Linked DNA regions of Callithrix jacchus. The protein of the gene in region 1 binds, or shares a complex with, the protein of each later gene. Links are inferred from orthologs where the notes say so. Each region holds a gene or a part of one and is shown in the gene's direction. Other genes may lie near its edges.

Evidence for each region. Proteins that work in one complex are often made in the same cells at the same time.
Region 2: the proteins of SART3 (region 1) and USP15 are in contact, whole or in part, in a crystal structure (PDB 5JJW), measured with the Homo sapiens proteins. The link is inferred for Callithrix jacchus from reciprocal best matches to the Homo sapiens genes SART3 and USP15. Residues at the interface, in NP_055521.1 of Homo sapiens: Ser438, Ser439, Lys440, Glu443, Gln490, Arg493, Glu494, Trp496, Asp497, Met500, Thr501, Ala505, Trp511, Tyr514, Arg533, Cys537; in NP_001239007.1 of Homo sapiens: Ser23, Leu24, Asp48, Trp50, Gly121, Met122, Phe123, Val124, Lys125, His126, Lys128.

What each region holds. Positions count from the first base shown.
Region 1 is NC_133510.1:111,405,522-111,415,558, reverse strand, and holds the end of SART3 (spliceosome associated factor 3, U4/U6 recycling protein), read left to right. Parts: coding exon 1-151; intron 152-3,694; coding exon 3,695-4,149; intron 4,150-4,630; coding exon 4,631-4,783; intron 4,784-5,736; coding exon 5,737-5,927; intron 5,928-6,610; coding exon 6,611-6,788; 3' UTR 6,789-8,026; downstream 8,027-10,037. UniProt on the Homo sapiens protein: U6 snRNP-binding protein that functions as a recycling factor of the splicing machinery. Promotes the initial reassembly of U4 and U6 snRNPs following their ejection from the spliceosome during its maturation.
Region 2 is NC_133510.1:57,031,828-57,042,445, reverse strand, and holds part of USP15 (ubiquitin carboxyl-terminal hydrolase 15), read left to right. Parts: intron 1-387; coding exon 388-458; intron 459-847; coding exon 848-963; intron 964-2,088; coding exon 2,089-2,238; intron 2,239-5,372; coding exon 5,373-5,476; intron 5,477-10,274; coding exon 10,275-10,363; intron 10,364-10,618. UniProt on the Homo sapiens protein: Hydrolase that removes conjugated ubiquitin from target proteins and regulates various pathways such as the TGF-beta receptor signaling, NF-kappa-B and RNF41/NRDP1-PRKN pathways.

The sequences.
Region 1 (10,037 bases):
GCCCTTGTGCAGCAAGAAGAAGAAAAGGCTGAACAACGGAAAAGAGCCCGGGCTGAGAAGAAAGCACTGAAAAAGAAGAAGAAGACCAGAGGCCCAGATAAGCGCGGAGCAGATGAGGATGATGAGAAGGAGTGGGGCGATGATGAAGAAGGTAAGGAGCTCTTGAGAAATTGTGTTTTGAAAGGTCTCAAAGTTAGAGAAGTTGCAAAAACAGTTGAACGTTCTTCCCTGAACCATTTGAGAATGCATTACCAGCTTGGTACCCATCACCCTTTGATCACTGTTAGGGTGTACGTCTTGCAGACAAGGGCCCTCTTCTCCATGACTGGCATGCAGCCATTGGAGCCAAGGTTAGCAGTGATCACTACTCTTGTCTAATATTCAGACCCCAGGCATAGGCATGTCCTTTGTAGTGAAAGGATCTGGATCAGGATGCACTGTTGTGTTGAGGTGTCCTGTCTGCTGGATCTCCTTCAGTCTGGAGCACTCCTCAGCTTTGTTTTTACTGTGATGACCTGCATTCTTGTATTTACTCCGATGACACACTCTGTTGAGTCCCTCAGCCTGGGTGTGTCTGAGGCTTCCTGGGGATTGGATTCTGCTCATGCATCTCGGGCAGGAATAGTGCACAGGTGCTCCTGTGGCCTGCTCATTGAATCCCGTCAGGTGGCCTCTGATTTCGCTTTGTTTCATTGCTGGCGATGGCCCTTTTGGTAATTATGTTGATGCTCTACTTATCCCAGGTTTGGCTAGCAAGAGTTTTTTCACACAGGCCCCTTTGACCCGTCCTCTTGTTCTTTGATCATTTCCTTACCTTCTAGCACACAGTTCCCAAGGGTCATCTTCCCTAACTCAGCCCTGGAGTCTGTCATTTCTCCAAGGTTCCTTTGAGTGATGAGTGGTATTTAGAAGGTGCTAGTTATGCTCACTGCTATTGGGTATTGCTCCTAGGACTGTGTTGTCAAGGGTAGGGAGTGTGTGTGTGCGTGCATGTGTACACAGACATATTTATGTCGATATTTACTTCTGTAACTATTTATATATACTGCAAGTCATGATGTCACACCAGTACCTCCAGTTCCAGTCTAACACCACAGGGTTCCTTTTCACACTTGCAGCAACCTTCTCTCTCTTGTTAAAATTTATGTACTCATTTATTTTCGAGACAGTCTCACTCTGTTGCCCAGGCTGGAGTGCACTGGCATGATCTCGGCTCACTTCAACCTCCGTCTCCCAGGTTTGGGTGATTCTTGTGCTTCAGCCTCCCAAATAGCTGGGATTACAGGCACGCACCATTACATCTGGCTAATTTTTTTGTATTTTTAGTAGAGATGAAGTTTTGCCATGTTGGCCAGGCTGGTCTTAGACTTGTGGCCTCAAGTGACCTGCCTGCCTTGGTCTCCCAAAGTGCTGGGATTATAGGCATGAGCCACTGTGCCCAGCTGTGTCATACCCTTCTCTGACCTTGAGAAACCTGGTTCCCTTTATCCTCAGCATCCTCACTTATTCCATCCAGCCCCTGTACTTATGAAATCAGTTTCCTGTTCCTGCCTCCCCTTCTTGTGGGTGCCATCCCCACCCTGTCTGGTCTCCTACACCTGGGGCCAGGTACGGCCCTGCATGGACCCCCTTGCATCTTCATTCTGGCTTCCATATCTCAGGCGGGGTCTCTGTCACTGCCCCATGTTGCTCATCTTCTTCCTTCCATTCAGGCTGTAGCATTGCACACCACTGCAGCAGCCCTCACCCTGCACAGACCTACCAGGCTTGGCCCTGCTTTATTTATTTATTAAAAAAATTTTTTTTTTGAGAGTGAGTCTTTCTCAGTTCTCCATCCTCAAGTGTGGTGGTGTGATCTCAGCTCATTGCAACCTCTACCTCTGGGTTCAAGTGATTCTCCTGCCTTAGCCTCCTGTGTAGCTGGGATTACAGGTGCCGGCCACCATGCCTAGCTAATTTTTGTATTTTAGTAGAGATGGGGTTTCACCATGTTAACCAGGCTGGTCTGGCACTCCTGACCTCAAGTGATCCTCCTGCCTTGGCCTCTCAGAGTGCTGGGATTACAAATGAGCCATTATGCCCAGCCTTGGCCCTGCTTTTAATGGTTGTGACTTAGTGGAATTTTCCAGCAGTGTTTCTTTCACCCTTGTAATTTTAGGGATGAACAGCTCTGGGTCATATTTATTTCAGAGTCAGTTAAGGTAAAGAATTGTCTCTGATGGCGGGGTGCCGTAGCTCATATCTAATCCCAGCACTTTGGGAGGCCGAGGTGGGTGGATCACCTGAGGTCAGGGATCTAAGACCAACCTGGCCAACATGGTGAAAACCTGTCTCTACTAAAAATACAAAAATTAGCCAGGCATGATGGCAGGTGCCTGTTTTCCCAGCTACTTGGGAGGCTGAAACAAGAGAATCACTTGAGCATAGGAGGTGGAGTTTGCAATGAGCTGAGATCGCACCACTGAACTCCAGCCTGGGAGACAGAGCAAGACTCCATCTCATAAAAAGAAAAAAAAAGAATTGTCTCTGGATGTGTAAGGGACTCTGTACACTTTCTTGGTACAGATGTATGAGCCAGAAAGAACTGGGAATGGAGTCATCCATCTTTGAGTTGACCTTGCTTGCACACCTTGTTTGGGCTTTCCTTAATAACTAAGGGGGGCTCATTGCCCCTCAGGCCTCCCAGTTTAGTAGAGTAAGGCAAATGTGATATGTGACCACGGTGGCATGTCATCAGGACTGTGGGAAATGGAATTGTTAGTAGTGGTGGAGGCCAAAGAAGGCTAGCTCTGTACCAGGAAGACTGAAGGGGAAGAGGTTTGAAATCCAGCGGGGAGACTGAGTGACTGTCTGGCATCAAGAAGGGAAGGGCCGAGCTAGACAGGGAGCCAGTGTTAGCACAGCCTGAAGGCCTATCACAGCCTGGCAATTTCTGTAAGAGCAAATAATTGGGTTTGAACTTGGATACATGGAGAAGAGATGGGGCAGTGTTTGAGGAGGCTGGAGTGGTAGGCGGGCCAGTCAGCTGGACCCAGCCCAGGTGCGCTCTTGAATACAGTAGCAGCGTGCAGGGCTTTCCACTCACTGCAAAAGTGTTGGGTGAACTGATGGGGAGGTCTGTTTGCTGGAGGCAGACATCTGTTGAACTTTAGTCCTGGCCCTCTGGAGGCAGTGGTGAGGACAGACTGGAGTAAAAGATTGTGGTTAAGCTCTCTTAAGGACACAAGGTAATATTGAAAGTGTTTTAGAAATCACAGACCCTTTGTAGTGCTTTCCAAAATGTGCTCTGTGGGGCATGGGCATCAGTTACTAGGGTGCTTTTCCAGTGCAGATTCTCATGTCCTGTCCCACCCCTGTTGACCTGGGCTTTTGTAGGAGAGGGGCCCTGGGATTTGCTTTCTGAACTTTGAGACCCTCTGGCCTTTTGTATAATTAAGAGTGGACAATGGGGATTTATATTATTACTTCCACTTGACTGAGCCCACTTACCCGAGTATAACTGGGGCACACAGAAAGTCGTGGGACAGGTCAGGCGGGTCACAAAAGACTTCTCCGGGTGATGCTTGCTCTTCTGTGTCTGGCGAGGGAGTGTCACATGCAGCTGTCACAGCTCATTCACATCACACCTCTGTTCAAGCTCCCCAAAGAGAGGTAACGGTTAACCAAGGCTATTTTTTCTTTTGAAAACCTGTAGAGCAGCCTTCCAAACGCAGAAGGGTGGAGAACAGCATCCCTGCAGCTGGAGAAACACAAAACATGGAATCAGCAGCAGGGCCCGCTGGGAAATGTGCTGTTGTAGATGTGGAGCCCCCTTCGAAGCAGAAGGAGAAGGCAGCCTCCCTGAAGAGGGACATGCCCAAGGTGCTGCACGATAGCAGCAAGGACAGCATCACCGTCTTTGTCAGCAACCTGCCCTATAGCATGCAGGAGCCGGATGCGAAGCTCAAGCCGCTCTTCGAGGCCTGTGGGGAGGTGGTCCAGATCCGACCCATCTTCAGCAACCGTGGGGATTTCCGAGGCTACTGCTATGTGGAGTTTAAAGAAGAGAAATCAGCCCTTCAGGCACTGGAGATGGACCGTAAAAGTGTAGAGGGGAGGCCAATGTTTGTTTCCCCCTGTGTGGATAAGAGCAAAAACCCCGATTTTAAGGTAGGTTTATGGAAAAACAGAATGCCTTGTATCTGTGATTGCTGTAGGGACTTCCTTCCTGCAGCAGTGATATTTAGGATATAAACAGAAGTTTTATGCTGTTTGGATCTAAACTTCCTTGTCTGCCGAGGTCCATGCTGACCTGGTTGACTGAGGTCTGACTCATGGCATAGGTACTTGCTGCTGGGTGCTTGGTAGTGACAAGAGACTGTGCTAAATGTGTTGTATGTATGTCACCTCATTGAACCCTTATCAGACTCTGTGACTGGCCACTTTTATTCTTGCCATTTTACAGAGGAAGACATGGAGGCTAGAGAGGTTAAATGACTCAGCCCGGTGGCTCTGTTAACAAGCTTCAGCATGGCTTGGCTCTGGTCTGCCTGGCTGGGCATGCTCCTGGGGACAAGGCTGGTGTCAGAGGAGTCAGGTGAGCAGGGTCAGGCCTTGAATCATGGTTTTTTTTCTCCCTTCCTTCCTACAGGTGTTCAGGTACAGCACTTCCCTGGAGAAACACAAGCTGTTCATCTCGGGCCTGCCTTTCTCCTGCACTAAAGAGGAACTAGAGGAAATCTGTAAGGTTCATGGCACCGTGAAGGACCTCAGGCTGGTCACCAATAGGGCTGGCAAACCAAAGGTCAGCGTTAGAGCAGACTGTGCCTCTTCAAGACTCATGCAAACTTCGTTTTTGTATCTGTTCAAAGATTATTTACCTTTAGGGTGGGTTCCTAGTTCATCTGCTGAGAAAAGTTATTTTAACAAAGATCTGCACACTTAGCTCTACTTATATTTGGAGTCAGATTAACCTGTTTGTAGTTAATTGTACTAAAAAGAATAAGGCACTTGGAAATAGATGATCATGAATTCACCATACTCTGGCCCCTTGCTGTGGGGCTTGAGGGAAGCCCTGTGACCAGCAGCACACAGGCTTTGGGGTGGGCACCTTGTGTAGCCTCCTCCCTCTTTCCCAGGCCTCTCTTTCCCTGGGGCCTCCAGCCAGGCCCCTTGAGTCCCTCCATTGCAGTACGTCTTCTCATGTCCTTCCTTCTTGCCCCGCAGTCTCCTGCTAAGTCCTTTTGTGCCCCATTTTGAGTAGTAAGTGGTTTTGTGTTACTGTCTACCCACTGCCCACTTTACCTCCTCCCCTTTATCCAGGTTAATGGAGAGAAAAAGAAGATGAAACGGGGGGGCGGGGTGCGGTGTAAGGGCACAGAAACACGAGGGCTCACCTGGGCACCTGGACTGCTCACCCTGTGTTCCGTCCACCTCTTGGTTTATTTGCTGGATTTATACTGGTCCATCTGTCTGTTTCCTTCTTTCTTTCTACTTCCGCAGCACATACCACGTGTCCTGAACTTGGAAGGGTTATCTGAAGTTACAGTGCGTAACAGCAATAGGGAAGGAGAGGAGGGTGGGGAAACAAGCCTGTAGACAGAGGATGTGGTGGTGGGGAAGATAATCTGTTGGTGGGGCGTCTGCTGTGTCCTGGTCTGCTGGTCTCCAGGAGGAGGCCCAGTGCCTGCCCTGTGGGAGGAGGTTGTATCCTGGGTCTGCAGGATCTGACTTGGTTCTGGATCTTGCCTCTTCCAGGGCCTGGCCTATGTAGAGTATGAAAATGAATCCCAGGCGTCGCAGGCTGTGATGAAGATGGACGGCATGACTATCAAAGAGAATGTCATCAAAGTGGCAATCAGCAACCCTCCTCAGAGGAAGGTTCCAGAGAAGCCAGAGGCCAGGAAGGCATCAGGTGGCCCCATGCCTTCACCGCAGACATACGGAGCGTAAGTGCTTGCACAGTAGATTAGTGCAGACTTCACTGTGGCTGACACCAGTTCATGGACCATGGTGGGATTAACCAGGACGAATTAGCTTCCTGTTAGGACAGAAAAGCCAAGGTCTGCTGTTCTTGTGGTAATCACTGTGGTTCCACTGGAGCAAGGTGTCCAGAGCAGGTCCAGGGAGGGTGCAAGCCTAGGCAGTGACCCCTGCCTGGTATTGGCCAATTTACACTTCGTCATTTATTACAGAACTAAAGGCAGTGACTATTTTAAAGTCCCCTTTGCCAGTTGGATCTGTGTGTTTAAAACAAAATCTCATACCCATGTGTGTGCCAGTCTACAGCCCTAGCTATGATCCATATAAGCTGTGCTTTTCCCCCCGATAGGGATGAGGAGGAGATAGCGGAATTGCTGGGTGACTGGTGAGGTCTGAGAGGCGATAGTCACTCTGATTCCCTTTGAGTGTGACTGGTGCTCAGGGTTAATCTTTGCCAAAACTGAACAAGGTCGTTTGTTGAAGCAGTTTTTACTTAATAGCCAGAATTAAGGAGGCAAGGATTATCTCATCCTTCTTTTTCACTTTTTAACTTCTGGTTATATTAAAACTGTCTTGGCTTATTTTTACAAATAAACCAGGGGACATGAATTGTTGCTTCAAAAGGTCCATTCGGTGTTTGCTCTTCTAGGAGGGGGAAGGGAAGGACGCAGCTGGCTCTGCTGCCTCGTGCCCTGCAGCGCCCAAGTGCTGCAGCTCCTCAGGCCGAGAACGGCCCTGCCCCAGCTCCTGCAGTTGCCACCCCACCAGCCACCGAGGCACCCAAGATGTCCAATGCCGATTTTGCCAAGCTGTTCCTGAGAAAGTGAACAGGACTCTGGGAGACAGGAAATGCCTTACTTCACTCTGGCCCGGAGGACCACCCACACTACCCACCAGTGCACTGGGGATGGACAGCCCTGGTGTGCTGCCCACTCGCAACCACAGATGGCTCCTCTGCTTCACAGAAAGGGGAAGAGGCCCTAAGTCAGGAGCCTTTCAGTGCTCCCTCATATTGAGGGCGGTGGCAGAAAAGTGACCACTCTGCAGGCTGGGCCCAGGATGTGGTGTCCTAAGCGGCTTTTGTATCTTCAAGATTGAGGCACAGAAGCAAAACTAGAACACAGAGTTTTTGAGACGCACTTGTCCAAATGTTTCTGGCCAGCTCCGGCCCCTTTTTATATGACACTTGTCTTCCACCCTGGACAGCACATGTGCCCATCATTCTTTTAAAAGATGAAATGGCAGATGCTAGTAATTCACCAGAATGGCCTAATGTGGGGGTGGGTCTGAGGGAAGTCATCTAAAAACATTTGCTGGATTTTTGTTCAAGGGGGCTGTGCATTTTTATATTCTGTATTTGTAAATGACACGTCAACCATTGTTTTATGTTTCCTTAAAGCAGAATATTTGCAACATTTGTATAGGAATTATTTGTGCCACCTGCTGTGGACTGTTTTCTTTGCCTAGTGATTAGTGACTTGTGTTGTCTAAACATGAGTTTCAGCCTTTTGGTTTTGTTTAATACCATGTTAAATGCAAACTTTCCTTCTCCCCATTTAGCTTTATTAAACTGAAGTTCTCTTAAAAACTTATTGCTGAACGGTACTCAGATGTACATTCACATATGGATGTGTTTTGAAGTGGGTGTACCTTGCTTTACCTAATGGATGTGTAAATAGAACTTCTGTTAAGTCAAATCTCATTGTCACTTTGATTTAAATTATTTCAGCTGTGATGTGTCTTCAGTTTTATACAATTTAGGTTATAGCAGTTTGACACTGGAGCTTATGAGCTTTTTTACTTCACATCTTATATCAAATAATATTTATTGCTTTGAAAACAGCATTGCCAGTTCAGTAGGGGAAGCTTCCTTTATTTACACAGTCTGGAGAAGGATGTCAGGGAATCCTTGTATATGTTATGGGAATCAACTCCTCATTTATCTGTTGTGTTAAGTTTTTGTGCATCAGTCGGGCTTTTCTATATTTTTTTTAACTTAACAGTTTTTAATATAACCTATTAAAAAGTAGACAGAACAGTAAAATAAACTCCTCTGTGCCTACCATTCGGCTTCCAGCATTCCTCAGCTCCCAGCCCCTCTTCCTTCATGTCTGTCTCCCCTTCACCTTCTGTTCTTTTTAGGCATGTTCCAGATGTCACCGTGACTGTCCAATAATGTTGTGGCAGGTGTCTCAGGATTGAAAGGCCTTCACTCCTAGAAATATTAGCAGTAATCCCTTAATGTCATCAACTGTCCACTCAAATTTCCACCTTCCTATGTCAGCTCTCCTCCCTATAAATTATCATTGGTTGGTAAGCCTCATAAGTCTTTTAAAATGTAGGTTCTCCCTCCATCTCTTTCTTACACAAAACTTTTTACTAGGCTTTACTTCTGAATTAAATTCAAGCAGTGGCTACTGGCAGCAGCAAGAGCCTTTGCTGTCCCATGCGTTCTTCCCACAGTGTTCTCCGTGATGCTGCTTGGAAGGCCATTCAGCTGGTGCGATGATTTGGGTAGCTCAGAGGGAGCCCTCATGGCTGGGGGCCTGACACATGAAGAGCCATGACTATCACTGTGGGTGAGTGTGGCCTTACTTCTTGCTGTTTCACATTAACTGGCTTTCTTGCCTGCAGCCAGTATTCTGACCTTAATGTCATACTTGCAGATGTCAACCCCGGCTTGTTACAGGGACAAACCTTTTCAGGCTTGAGCAGAACCCCATTTAGGTTCGGGGTTGACTGTTGTACAAATGGATTTCCAGGACCATATGAGTGGGTTTGTTTGTTTTCCCTAGAAAATCCAGAACTGATGGTAAACAGAAACCTGAGGAACTACTTCAGTTACTTGTCTTAGTAAAAAAACAAAACAAGAAAATCAGTGATTCATCCTTATCCACCTAGGTGGGTGGGTTATCCAACTTCTGGCTCACTTGCTCATGGAAATCACCATCTTGGATCTGTTGTTCCTAAGGCTAAAGGTCAGAATACCCCCATTGCCCTTAGGACAGATGGAAACACCTCCCAAATAAGACAGCAGAATCTCAGGGATTCATGTAATAAAATAACTTTATTAGAATCAGGAATTTGTTAAAATAATAACCTTCACATATAGCTAAAGTGCAAATTCTTTTGCTCTTGAGTAGAAAGCAAGCTCATCTGTCAGACCTTGGTGTGCTTATAAACCAAGATGAGAAGAGTGTAAGAAGTACATCTGACAGCATGAGAGTATGAAAACATTTTATAAAGGTTTGAATAATTATCATTTGGAGCCATTTCATGTATCTTTTCACTTGTTTTTCTTGACCTTTCAAAAACTACTCTGAATGTGCTATTTATACAACTGAGTAACTGTATAAACTCTGTTAGAGCAGTGGCCTCATTATGCCAGGAACTGAATTCCCAAATCAAAGACAACACTGCATATTCGCTATCACTCACACACTGGCAAAGTGCAGTACAGTGTTAAGACATCACAGGCTCCATCACTGGAAAGGGGACCCAGTGACTTCCACCACTCTGACTAAATAGCAGCAGTCATATTGGCATCTGTGCCATATGATTGAAAGAGAAGATTCTACTTCCATAGGATGACAGCTTAGAAACTTGGCCATGTTACATAGAGCACTGCATCATTTCACAAGTCACGAGAAAAATAAGGCCACTCTGAGGCAATCTCTTCTGCCTCCCCAGGGGTACACAGGACTGAGAAAATGCTGTGGAAGGTGGAGCTCCAGGACCAAAGGGACGTAGCCCGGCTGCGGCTGAAGGTTTCTGCTCTGTTCACTAGAAACTGGTGCTCTAATTCATTATCAAAAATGCTTACTAGGTGTCCACGTGGCACTTGTTTTCTCAGATAGGTTCTTCAACATCTACCTACAGAAAACTCAGGCAGGGGAGTGAGGGCAGGTGCCTACTCACATAACACCTGGTTTACAGCACGACACAGTTGGAAGGACGAGCCCAGAGAACTTTTAAACGAAAACACCTGGCCTGAGTTGCTCCAAATGAAGTGCGAGAACACTGATACCCAAAGAAAACCAAATGGGCCATCCCCGTTGTTTCCCCTGCCCACAGAC
Region 2 (10,618 bases), about 54 Mb from region 1:
TGTGAAAAATGGCTTGAACATTAAACAAGCAGAACAAGTAATTTTTTTTTTTTGTTTTTTAGTTAAAAACCATGAAATTCAGGTCTGTAAAGAAAATTGCCATTTACTTTTCTATCTCAAATTTTATATGAAAGGCCTTAATATCTTAGTAGAGTAAAATGTGTGTCTATGTTTCATAAAAGGAGATTGAACTTATGCTTAAGTTTTCTGTCTTTTTTAAAACTCTTAAATTATTTCATTGGCTTGGAAACTGCTATTAGCCCTAATCACCTGGTACAATTAGAAAAGATTGCTATTTATTTATTCTTATATACATCCTAACATTAAAATATATTTTAATACTAAGATGTATTAAATTTTAAAGAAAAAATATGTTTTCCACCTTAGAAAGATCTTTTCTTGCTTTGGATTGGGATCCTGATTTGAAAAAAAGATATTTTGATGAAAATGCTGCTGAGGTAAGTCATCACTTGCTCATTCATGTTACCTATCCTTGATTTACTTTATGTAATTACCAGAGATAATCATACTGTTTTGTTATATTCTTTGCTTCCACCAAATACATTTATTTTGCCAGTAAAAAATTGGTCATGAACTAGAAAAGAAAGTCTTTGCAAAAATACCTTTTTTTTTTAAAGATTCAAAGTTTGTTTTCAACATGCTTTGGTCATCCAGATAGGAGTATAAAGGAATTATTTAGAAGTATGGTATAAATCTCAACTGAAATAAGCTTTATGATTCTTTTGAGAAAGTTTAGGAGTTTTCATTATTATTCATAGTAAGATGGTATCACTAAAATGAGTTTTGTTTCATTTGTTCTCTTAACTCAAGAAATACTTCTCTTTAGGACTTTGAAAAACATGAAAGTGTGGAGTATAAACCTCCTAAAAAACCCTTTGTGAAATTAAAAGATTGCATTGAACTTTTTACAACAAAAGAAAAGCTAGGTGCTGAAGATCCCTGGTAAGAGACAAAATTGTTTTTGTTTTCTTTAAGGATTTATTCTGAGGTGTGTGCCACATCAAGTTGAAAAAGTAATTACTGAATTTCTTTTGATAATAAATACTAAAGCTTTCTTTATATAGTAAGTTGTAGCCTTTTAAGAGGGATGGGAATGTCTTAAAAAAATACTACTACAGGCTGGGCGCAGTGGCACACGCCTATAATCGCAGCATTCTGGGAGGCCAAGGTGGGCGATCACAAGGTCAAGAGATCGAGACCATCCTGGCCAACATGGTGAAACCCCGTCTCTACTAAAGTTACAAAAAAATTAGCTGGGTGTGGTGGCATTTGCCTGTAATCTCAGCTACTTAGAAGGCTGAGGCAGGAGAATCGCTTGAACCCAGGAGGTGGGAGTTTCAGTGAGCCGAGGTTGCGCCACTGCACAACCTGTCGACAGAGTGAGACTCCATCTCAAAAAAACACCTGTAATCCTAGCACTTTGGGAGGCTGAGGTGGGTGGATCACCTGAGGTCGGGAGTTCAGAACCAGCCTGGTTATCATGGTGAAAGCCCATCTTTATTTTAAAAAATAAAATAAAATAAAAAAATTAAAAGTCCTATTTGCAAAAAAAAATTTTTTAATTAAAAACTATTATAGTGTTGCCTTAATTTCATTACTGTGTTTTCCATAATAGTCATTATACTATTAATAATTCGTTTTACTTTTTTTCCACGAAATTTTAGCTATATAATCATTTTGAGAGAAGCTTTTTAGGAAAAGTATAGTGAAACATTTTGTGGTGGAGTTCCATTAGAGCCCAGAAGTTTTGAGATTTTCTAATACCTATCTTCCAGGACAAATTTGCAATCTATGTCTTTTTCACATACTAAAAGAGAAATAATCTAGTCCTCATTATTTCTTTCAATGTGTATTTGTATATTAATTTATAATGGTTAAATCTATTTGGAAAATGTGTTGAAAATAAAAATAGGAAAAAGAGTTGCTTTCAACCTGGTACATATTAGGCATATGATAATTGCCCACTGAATAAATGTAGAACTTTCCAAACATTTCTGGTCTATTATTTTCATTAATGGGGGTTGTTTGTACCTCTATCAAACTTTAAATGCTTCTTTTTATTCTTAGGTATTGTCCGAATTGTAAAGAACATCAGCAAGCCACAAAGAAATTGGATTTGTGGTCCCTGCCTCCGGTACTTGTGGTACATCTCAAGAGATTTTCTTACAGTCGATATATGAGAGACAAGCTGGATACTTTAGTTGATTTTCCTATCAAGTAAGTTTTAATTGTACTTAGAAGCATTGGGCAACTCTTCTTTCAGACTGATGCTTTTTGTTAGTATCCTTTTTTTGTGAGACAAAGTCTTGCTTTTTCACCAGGCCAGAGTGCAGTGGCACAATCTCGGCTCACTGCAACTTCCACCTCCCAGATTGAAGTGATTCTCCTCCCTCAGCCTCCTGAGTAGCTGGGACTACAGGCGAGCACCACCATGCCCAGCTAATTTTTGTATTTCTTTAGTAGAGACAGGTTTCACCATGTTGGCCAGAATGGTCTCAATCTCTTGACCTTGTGATCTGCCCGCCTCAGCCTCCCAAAGTTCTGGGATTACAGGTGTGAGCCACTGCGCCCGGCCATAGTTATTATCCTTTAGTAAACATCAGATGTCATTGGACCCAATTGCAGCTTTCAAGTTTGTTTTGGAGTAGTTCTAACAATTTATAAGGATCAGTGTTTCAAAATTTTAATTTTTTTTTAGAGATTTTCCAAAGACCAAAGAGAAAATATACTTTTTTTTTTAAAGATGGGGTTTCACCATGATGGCCAGGCTGGTCTTGAATTCCTAACCTCAGGTGATCCACCCACCTCGGCCTCCCAAAGTGCTAGGATTACAGGCGTGAGCCAGCGCAGCCAGCCAAAAATATACTTTTAAAAAAATAATAAAACTCCTTCTGTATTACGTTATCTATGGGTTAATTGGTCTCATTTATAAATCTAAGATACTTTATGGTACTTAGTGATTTTGTTTATCCTAGGAATTATTTCATGATTACTCATCACTTATTCCTAAATATGCCAGTTTGGTTTTTTGTTTGTTTGGCTTTTGAGATGGAGTCTTACACTGTTGCCCAGGCTGGAGTGCAGTGGTACAGTCTCAGCTCACTGCAACCTTCATCTACTAGGTTCGAGTGATTCTCCTGCCTCAGCCTCCCAAGTAGCTGGGATTACAGACACCTGCCACCACTTATATTTTTAGTACAGACAGTGTTTCACCATATTTACCAGGCTGGTCTCAAACTCCTGGCCTCAAGTGATCCTCCCGCCTTGGCCTTCCAAAGTGCTGGAATTACAGTCATTAGCCACCTCGCTCAGCCCTTAATATGCTGTTTTCAAAAAGACTAAAATAAAACTGAATAATGGAATTGCTTAGAAGGATAACACAGTAGTGAAATAAATCATCACTATTGCATCATCCTTCAGTTTTCCTGTTGCCATTATATGACATCATATTTGTAAAAAGATATATTTATGGCCATACCAACTTCAATGCACCCCAATCTTGTCTGTAAAAAGATATTTAAAAAGTCTATACATCTTCATATTCTTTTTTTTCTTTTACCCCCTGCTTTTACTAAACAGTTGTGAATTCAGAATGACAAAAAGAGAACATTGTATTCTCAATCACTTATTCAACAGGAAGGACTTTGTCACACAATATTTTGCACAAGAACTTGTACTCTCCCATTTTGCAAAGAGAACTTTCAGTGGTATTATTTGATATTCTGTGGTATTTGTGCACCAAAATTTACTTGATACAGTTAGTAAATGGACAAATGCTAATGGCAGGTGTATCTACAAAGGTAACTAGAAGGAAATAGATTACATAAAACAAAATATTTATTGGATTGCTCATACTAATTGATGGTTATAAATTTAAAATTATATATAATTATTGAATAAAAAAAGATCATGTTCTTTTTAACAAAATAGTGAGCCATTAAAAGTTTTCAATAATATAGCATTTGGCAATGTAAGAATAAGAAAAAGAATCAGGAGTAATGACAAACTAGAATCTGTTAGAGATGTATTTAAAAATTAGAATCGTAATTGCTTTTTAATGATGCAAATACAAAAAGAACAACCAGAAATAATAATAACCTATTTACAAGATGGTCATTTTCCAGGTTCTTAAATGATAGATTATGATTAGTCAGTTACATTCAAAGAATGTTGCCCATTTCAGGTTTATAGGTCATCAAAGCCAACAAATGTAGAATAAAAATTTGATATATTAATATTTTTTAAAACTTCTGAGAAAGTTGTTTTCACTGTTCTTGTATTTTTCTTCACATAAATCACTTCCTTTTTTTTAATGTCCCACCCTGCCCATAAACTACTTTTTATAAAATTGACTTTAAAATAAAGATCCATTGGACCCAGGTGGTAAATAGTGATGACTGTTTCTCCTGATATACTGAGAATTAAATGTGTTAGCATAAAAACATTAATCTGAATAACAACATTCAACGTTTGTATTTATTTATTTTTTAATTTTTGTGGCTACATAGTAGGTGTATATATTTGTGGGGTACATGAGATGTTTTGATGCAGTGTGAAATAATCACATCATAGAGAATGGGATATCCATCCTCTCAAGCATTTATCCTTTCTGTTACAAACAATCCAGTCACACTCTTAGTTATTTTTATATGTACAATTAAGTTATTATTGACTATAGTCACCCTGTTGTGTGATCAAATAGTTGTTTTATTCATTCATTTTTTTTTAACTCATTACCATCCCCACCCTTCCCAGCCTCTATTAACCATCCTTCTACTCTTTCTGTTCATGAGTTCAGTTGTTTTGATTTTTAGATCCCACAAATGAGAACATGTGATGTTTATCTTTCTGTGCCTGGCTTATTTCATTTAACATAATGATCTCCAGTTCCATCCATGTTGTTGGAAATGGCAGGATCTCATTCTTTTTTATGGCTGAATAGTACTTCATTGTGTATATGTACCACACTTTTTTTAACCATTCATCTGTTGATGGACACTTACTTCCATCAACATTACAACATGTAGTTCCATCGAATCAACGAGATTTGGTTGTTGTTTCCAGATCTTAGCTGTTGTGAAAATTGCTACAACGAACATGAGAGTGCAGATATCTCTATGATATACTCAATGAAACATTTTAACATTTTCAACCCATAAACAAATCTTTGCCAAAACATTAATATCTCAGAGGTACATGTATGATTTGTTTTGTAAGTTACTTGACTCATAATTTCTTTATTGAGATACACACACACACACACACACATGTCAAACAACAATGGCAGAAGGGAATAGAATTCATTGCATTTAGGGACAACATAAAATTAACTTGATTTCTTTTTTAAACAGTGACTTGGATATGTCGGAATTCTTAATTAATCCAAATGCAGGTCCTTGCCGCTATAATTTGATTGCTGTTTCCAACCACTATGGAGGGATGGGAGGAGGACACTGTAAGTTGACAGTTTGCCTTTTTACCCAAATCATGGTGTTTGAAGAACTCCAGGCTTTTTTCTTTACGATATTTATTAATTCTTAAGGATAAAATCTCAGATGTGTCTTGCATATAGTAATTAAATATTGATTAATGAATGAGTCAGCTTTTGAACCTTTTTTTTTCCACACTCATAGAGGATTGAGTTCATTATACTCCTCAGTTCAGGGCCCAGGAGGGAATGTTGTTGTCTTAGAGTGCATTTCCCTCCACATTCTCCTTCCCCTTTGCTTTCTAACAAGTTTGATGCATATACTCTTGTAAATCATTAATATTTATTCATTTATATAATTAGTACTGTGGTATCGATCTCACTAGGTCTTGACTCTTACTAAGATTTATCTATGTTATTTTGTGTCTGTTTAGTCAGTTGTTTCTCACTGCTCATGATTTACATCTACCATATTTTATCTCTCCACGTACCTTTTGATGAACCTCTAAATTGCCTTTCACTTTCTACCACTGTAAGACTGATAAGCAATTGTTTATGGTATCCTGTGTAAGAATTTCTTTGGGCTGCATACCCAAAAGTGAGATTGCTGAGTTTAAGTAAGTGTTGTCAGATTGTTCCACTCTACATTCTGCAAGCGATTTATTTTTCTGTTGAACAATATTTGCATTCCTTGGATATATCCTACTTATCTTTGTATATCTTTGATACATAGCTGGATTTAGTCCAACTTATTTAGGGTTGTTACAGTTTCATTCATAAGTGAAATGGTCTTCTAAGTTTTTTATATTTTCATTTATCTTAGTTTGGAATAAAGATTAGAGTCATTAAACAAGCTAGGATGCTTTATCCTTCGTTTGGTTTTTTTGGAACATCTGGTACAATACAGGAATTGACTATTCATCAAAGTCTAGTAGAATTAACCTGTAAAGCCATCTAGGCTTAACAATAATTGTTTTTATTTATGTTATGCATATTGGTCTCCAGTTTTCTTTTTCCTTTTGTGTATATTTTGATGTTTTCTTTATATCTAAAAGTGTATCCATTTCATTTAGGTTTTCTAATTTATTTAAGAACTGTTTATAATACTTATATTATCCTGTTTTTGTCTTTTTTCATTCTTTTTCTCTGTTATTTTTTTTAAATCAATCTTTCTGGCTGGGTGTGGTGGCTCATGCCTGTAATTCTAGCACTTTGGGAGGCGAAGGCAGGAGGATCACAAGGTCAGCAGATTGAGACCATTCTGGCCAACATGGTGAAACCCTGCCTCTACTAAAAATACAAAAATTAGCTTGGCTTGGTGGCGCATGCCTGTAAATTCCAGCTACTCGGGAGGCTGAGGCAGGAGAATCACTTGAACCAGGGAGTCAGAGGTTGCAGTGAGCCAAAATCACACCACTGCACTCAGCCTGGCAACAGACTCAATCTCAAAAAAAAAAAAAAAAATTAGTCTTCCAGATTTCTCTCTTATTAATCTTTTCAAAGAATTAGCTTTTCATCTTATCAGATTTTTATTTTTGTTGTTGTATCTATGTATTCATTTTTATCTATTTATGTTTTTTGAGACCAGGTCTCGCTCTGTCACCCAGGCTGGAGTACAGTGGCATGATCTTGGCTCACTGCAGCCTCCACCTCCTGGGTTCAAATGATCCTACCAGCTTTGCCTCCTGAGTAGCTGGGACTACAGGCCATCTAATTTTTTGTGTATTTTTAGTAGAGACAGGGTTTCACTATGTTGCCCAGGCTGGTTTTGATCTCCTGGGCTCAAGCGTTCCTCCTACCTTAGCCTCCTGAGTAGCTGGGACTGCAGGTGCACGCCACCACACCTGGCCTGTATGTATTTATTCTATCTAATTGATTTCTTCTCTTCCCTTCATTGTATGGGAATGTAACCTCTTGTTACTCTGGGTTTCTGTGTTACTCTTCTTATAATTTCTTGAGTTGAATGCTTAACCTTTTTGCTCTTCATTGTTTCTCCTATACTGAAGGCTGTAATTAAAGGCTATAAATATTCTGCTAAGTACTGCTTTAGCTGTACTTAATATTTTTATTGTCTTTCAATTGTGTGTATGTTTCAGTTTCCTTTATGATTTCCTAATTAGCCCAATGTTATTTAATCATATGCTTAGTTTCCAAATATACAGAGTTTGTCACTTTGTTCTTTCAGTTTTATTACATAGCAGTTGAGAACATTGTCTTTATTAATCTTTAGGAGTCTGAAAGTTCCCAGTGTCTTAATACGTACATGGTTCGTTCCTTAAATGTTTATATGCTTAGAAAAAAATATACATTTCCCATTTAGATATGGAGTTCTTTGTATCTCTGATAGCTTAAGCTTATCAACTGTATTCAAACCATTACTCTCCCTGGTTATTTTTTATGTTCATTTTATTCCTGAGAGGAATTTTGTCAGGACTCCTACTGAAGTGTTGATTGATCTGCTTCTCCCAACAGTTTTATTAGTCCTTATTAATATTTTGCATAATTACATTTATGTTCATAATGGGTAGCTCTTCTGTGTTGTTCCTTTTACACCAGGATTTGACATTCTTGGCCCCTTTTTTCTTTTTCTCAGCTATTGCAAGTGTTACTCTAGCTTTCTTTTGGATATCATCATTTAACTTACAAACTCTCTGTGCCTTTTTGTTGAATGTGTCTCTTATAAATCACAGAGTAGCATCTGCTCTGCAGTGGTCTTGGATTGAGATTGACAAACTCACAACACACAAAAGGCTTCACCCAGCACCAGGTTGACTTAGATTTAAGACAGGATACAGGTCAAGAAACAATACAGCATACACAGCAACAGCTTAGCAGAGGTCCTATATGTAGCTGGAAGGGGAGAAAATAGGGTAGAGCATGCTCAAAGGAAGCTGCTCAGCCCATTGCTGTTTTCTTCCACTCCTCACCAAGGCTGATTTTCAACCAGAGTGCATGGGGTACAATCATATTAAGTGTCAAATATTTTGTTAGCCCAAGAGGGCTAACCCAGCAGCAATAAGACTCTGATTTAGGTAGCCTGAATATTGCTAATTTCTGTGACGAAGATTGAAGCATGAATTTAAAAGCTTTCTTCTGAATTGTCTTCTCATTTCTGCCTCCAGCCATTCTGTCGCATTCTTCAGTCATTTTGCATGCACATAGAAATATCCTTGAGTTAGTTCATTCTGATATGCCGTTAATCATATCAGTGACATATTGAGAACAGGGTTCTCAGTTTGTTTTTTTTTGTTAGCTTCTTTGACCTTAACTTCCCTCTGCTTCTGTGGTTTTTCTCCGTGGTTGATTTTTGAGGAGAGGGAACCAACAGCAGGTAGAATATGAAACATTTCTTCCACAGGGTAGGTGCTCAGTAAAATCGTTAACTAAACAACTTACAGTTTAAGCCGTTATTTTATTGTGGTGGGTTGGCTGGTTGACTGGTTGGTTGGTTGGTTGGTTGGTTGGTCTTTTCTTCTGGCTTCCAATGAAGCTTCACTAAAGATGATGATTACCTTACTTTCAAAGTAATGTCATTTCCTCTGATCATCATCCAAACAGGTAACTTAATAGAGAATATTGCCCTTTGGTTTTAGCCGTATTAAGGATAATACCTCAATTTCTTATTTATATATGAATGGGAAGGATAATAATTTTTACTTTAGGATGGGAAGAATTATTTAGGTTATGGAAGAACCATACCCTACAAAGTGTCGCTTTTTAGAAGCAGTGACCACAGTTAATTATTTTAGGAACATTTTGCAACTTCATTTCTTCAGTTACTGGGTAGTTTATGTAAGACATTGGATGGGAAATGGGGCTTTTTTTGACTTAAAGATAAAGCAGATCTTTAAAAATTATGTGGATTAATTAATCACTTTTTGCCTTTTTCTTGCTCTGTGCAGTCATCCCTTTGTATCAGTGGATACCACAGATGCTCAAGTTCCTTAGATAAAATACTGTACTATTTGCATATAACCTATCCACATCCTCTCATATACTTGTATGTGTAGATTATTTAGAATACCTAATACGATGCCTGCATGTCACTTCATTCACATGAATTCAGCATAGTACTCAGTACATGGCAAATTCAAGTTTTAGTCTTCAAAACTTTGTGGAAATTTTTTCCCCCAAATATTTTTGATCTGTGGTTGGCTGGGTTCAGGGATGCAGAACCCCTATATACAGAGGACCAATTGTACTTTTGTTAAAAACTGAAAGAGATTCTGGTGTTTGGAAAAAAAAAAAAAACTATAGCTTAATGAGTAGAGCTATCAGAAAACAAATTGTCATAGAAAATTTAATAATAGTTGAAATTTCAAACTTTGAAGTCAGAAACAGGTCTAGGTTTAAATCCTAACTGCTAGCTAATAGCTATAGTACCTTTAGTAAATTATCCTTCTTTTTTGATGCCTTAATTTCCTATCGCTAAGGTGGGGAGAATAATAGTGATAATACCTTCTTTATGAGATGATACATGTAAAATGTATAACACTATGCCTGGTACAAAGTAAGCACTACATAAATGTTAATTACCATTTATTGTCATTAGTGCTATTCTGTGAATTTAAAAGTAATCTATTTTTTCCTGAGATGAAAAAAGTATGTTTAAACTTATATGAAAATTATTTTAGGCATCTAATTGTGAAAATTATTCTAAGATACTTTTAATCATTTGAGTCGATTGATTGTGTAATAAATAAGCCTCATAGATGATTGTCAGGCAGTTTTAATAGATATTCCTTATATAGATGATTATAGACTTTTGAGAAGTCCCCAGAAAACCAAGATCATTTTTTCACAGTGATTATATTTTTTTCATTAGATACTGCTTTTGCAAAAAATAAAGATGATGGAAAATGGTACTACTTTGATGACAGTAGTGTCTCCACTGCATCTGAAGACCAAATTGTGGTAAGCTTGTCTTACATTTCCTGAAAACTATGGGATTCACTGTTTTAAGGAGTGAATATAAATTAGTAAAAGGGGCCCATGGAACACTGTAATCTACATTCTAGTAGCTTGAGTAGCTAAAAGTGACAATTCTTAGTTAAATAAATGTCAAATTGTCCCCTAAATAGAAATTTGTCTTCTAAATTTGCCCACTAATAAAAGCATAAATTGCAAGGTGAAAAAAAATTTAGTAGTTTTCAACATAGAGTTTCTAAT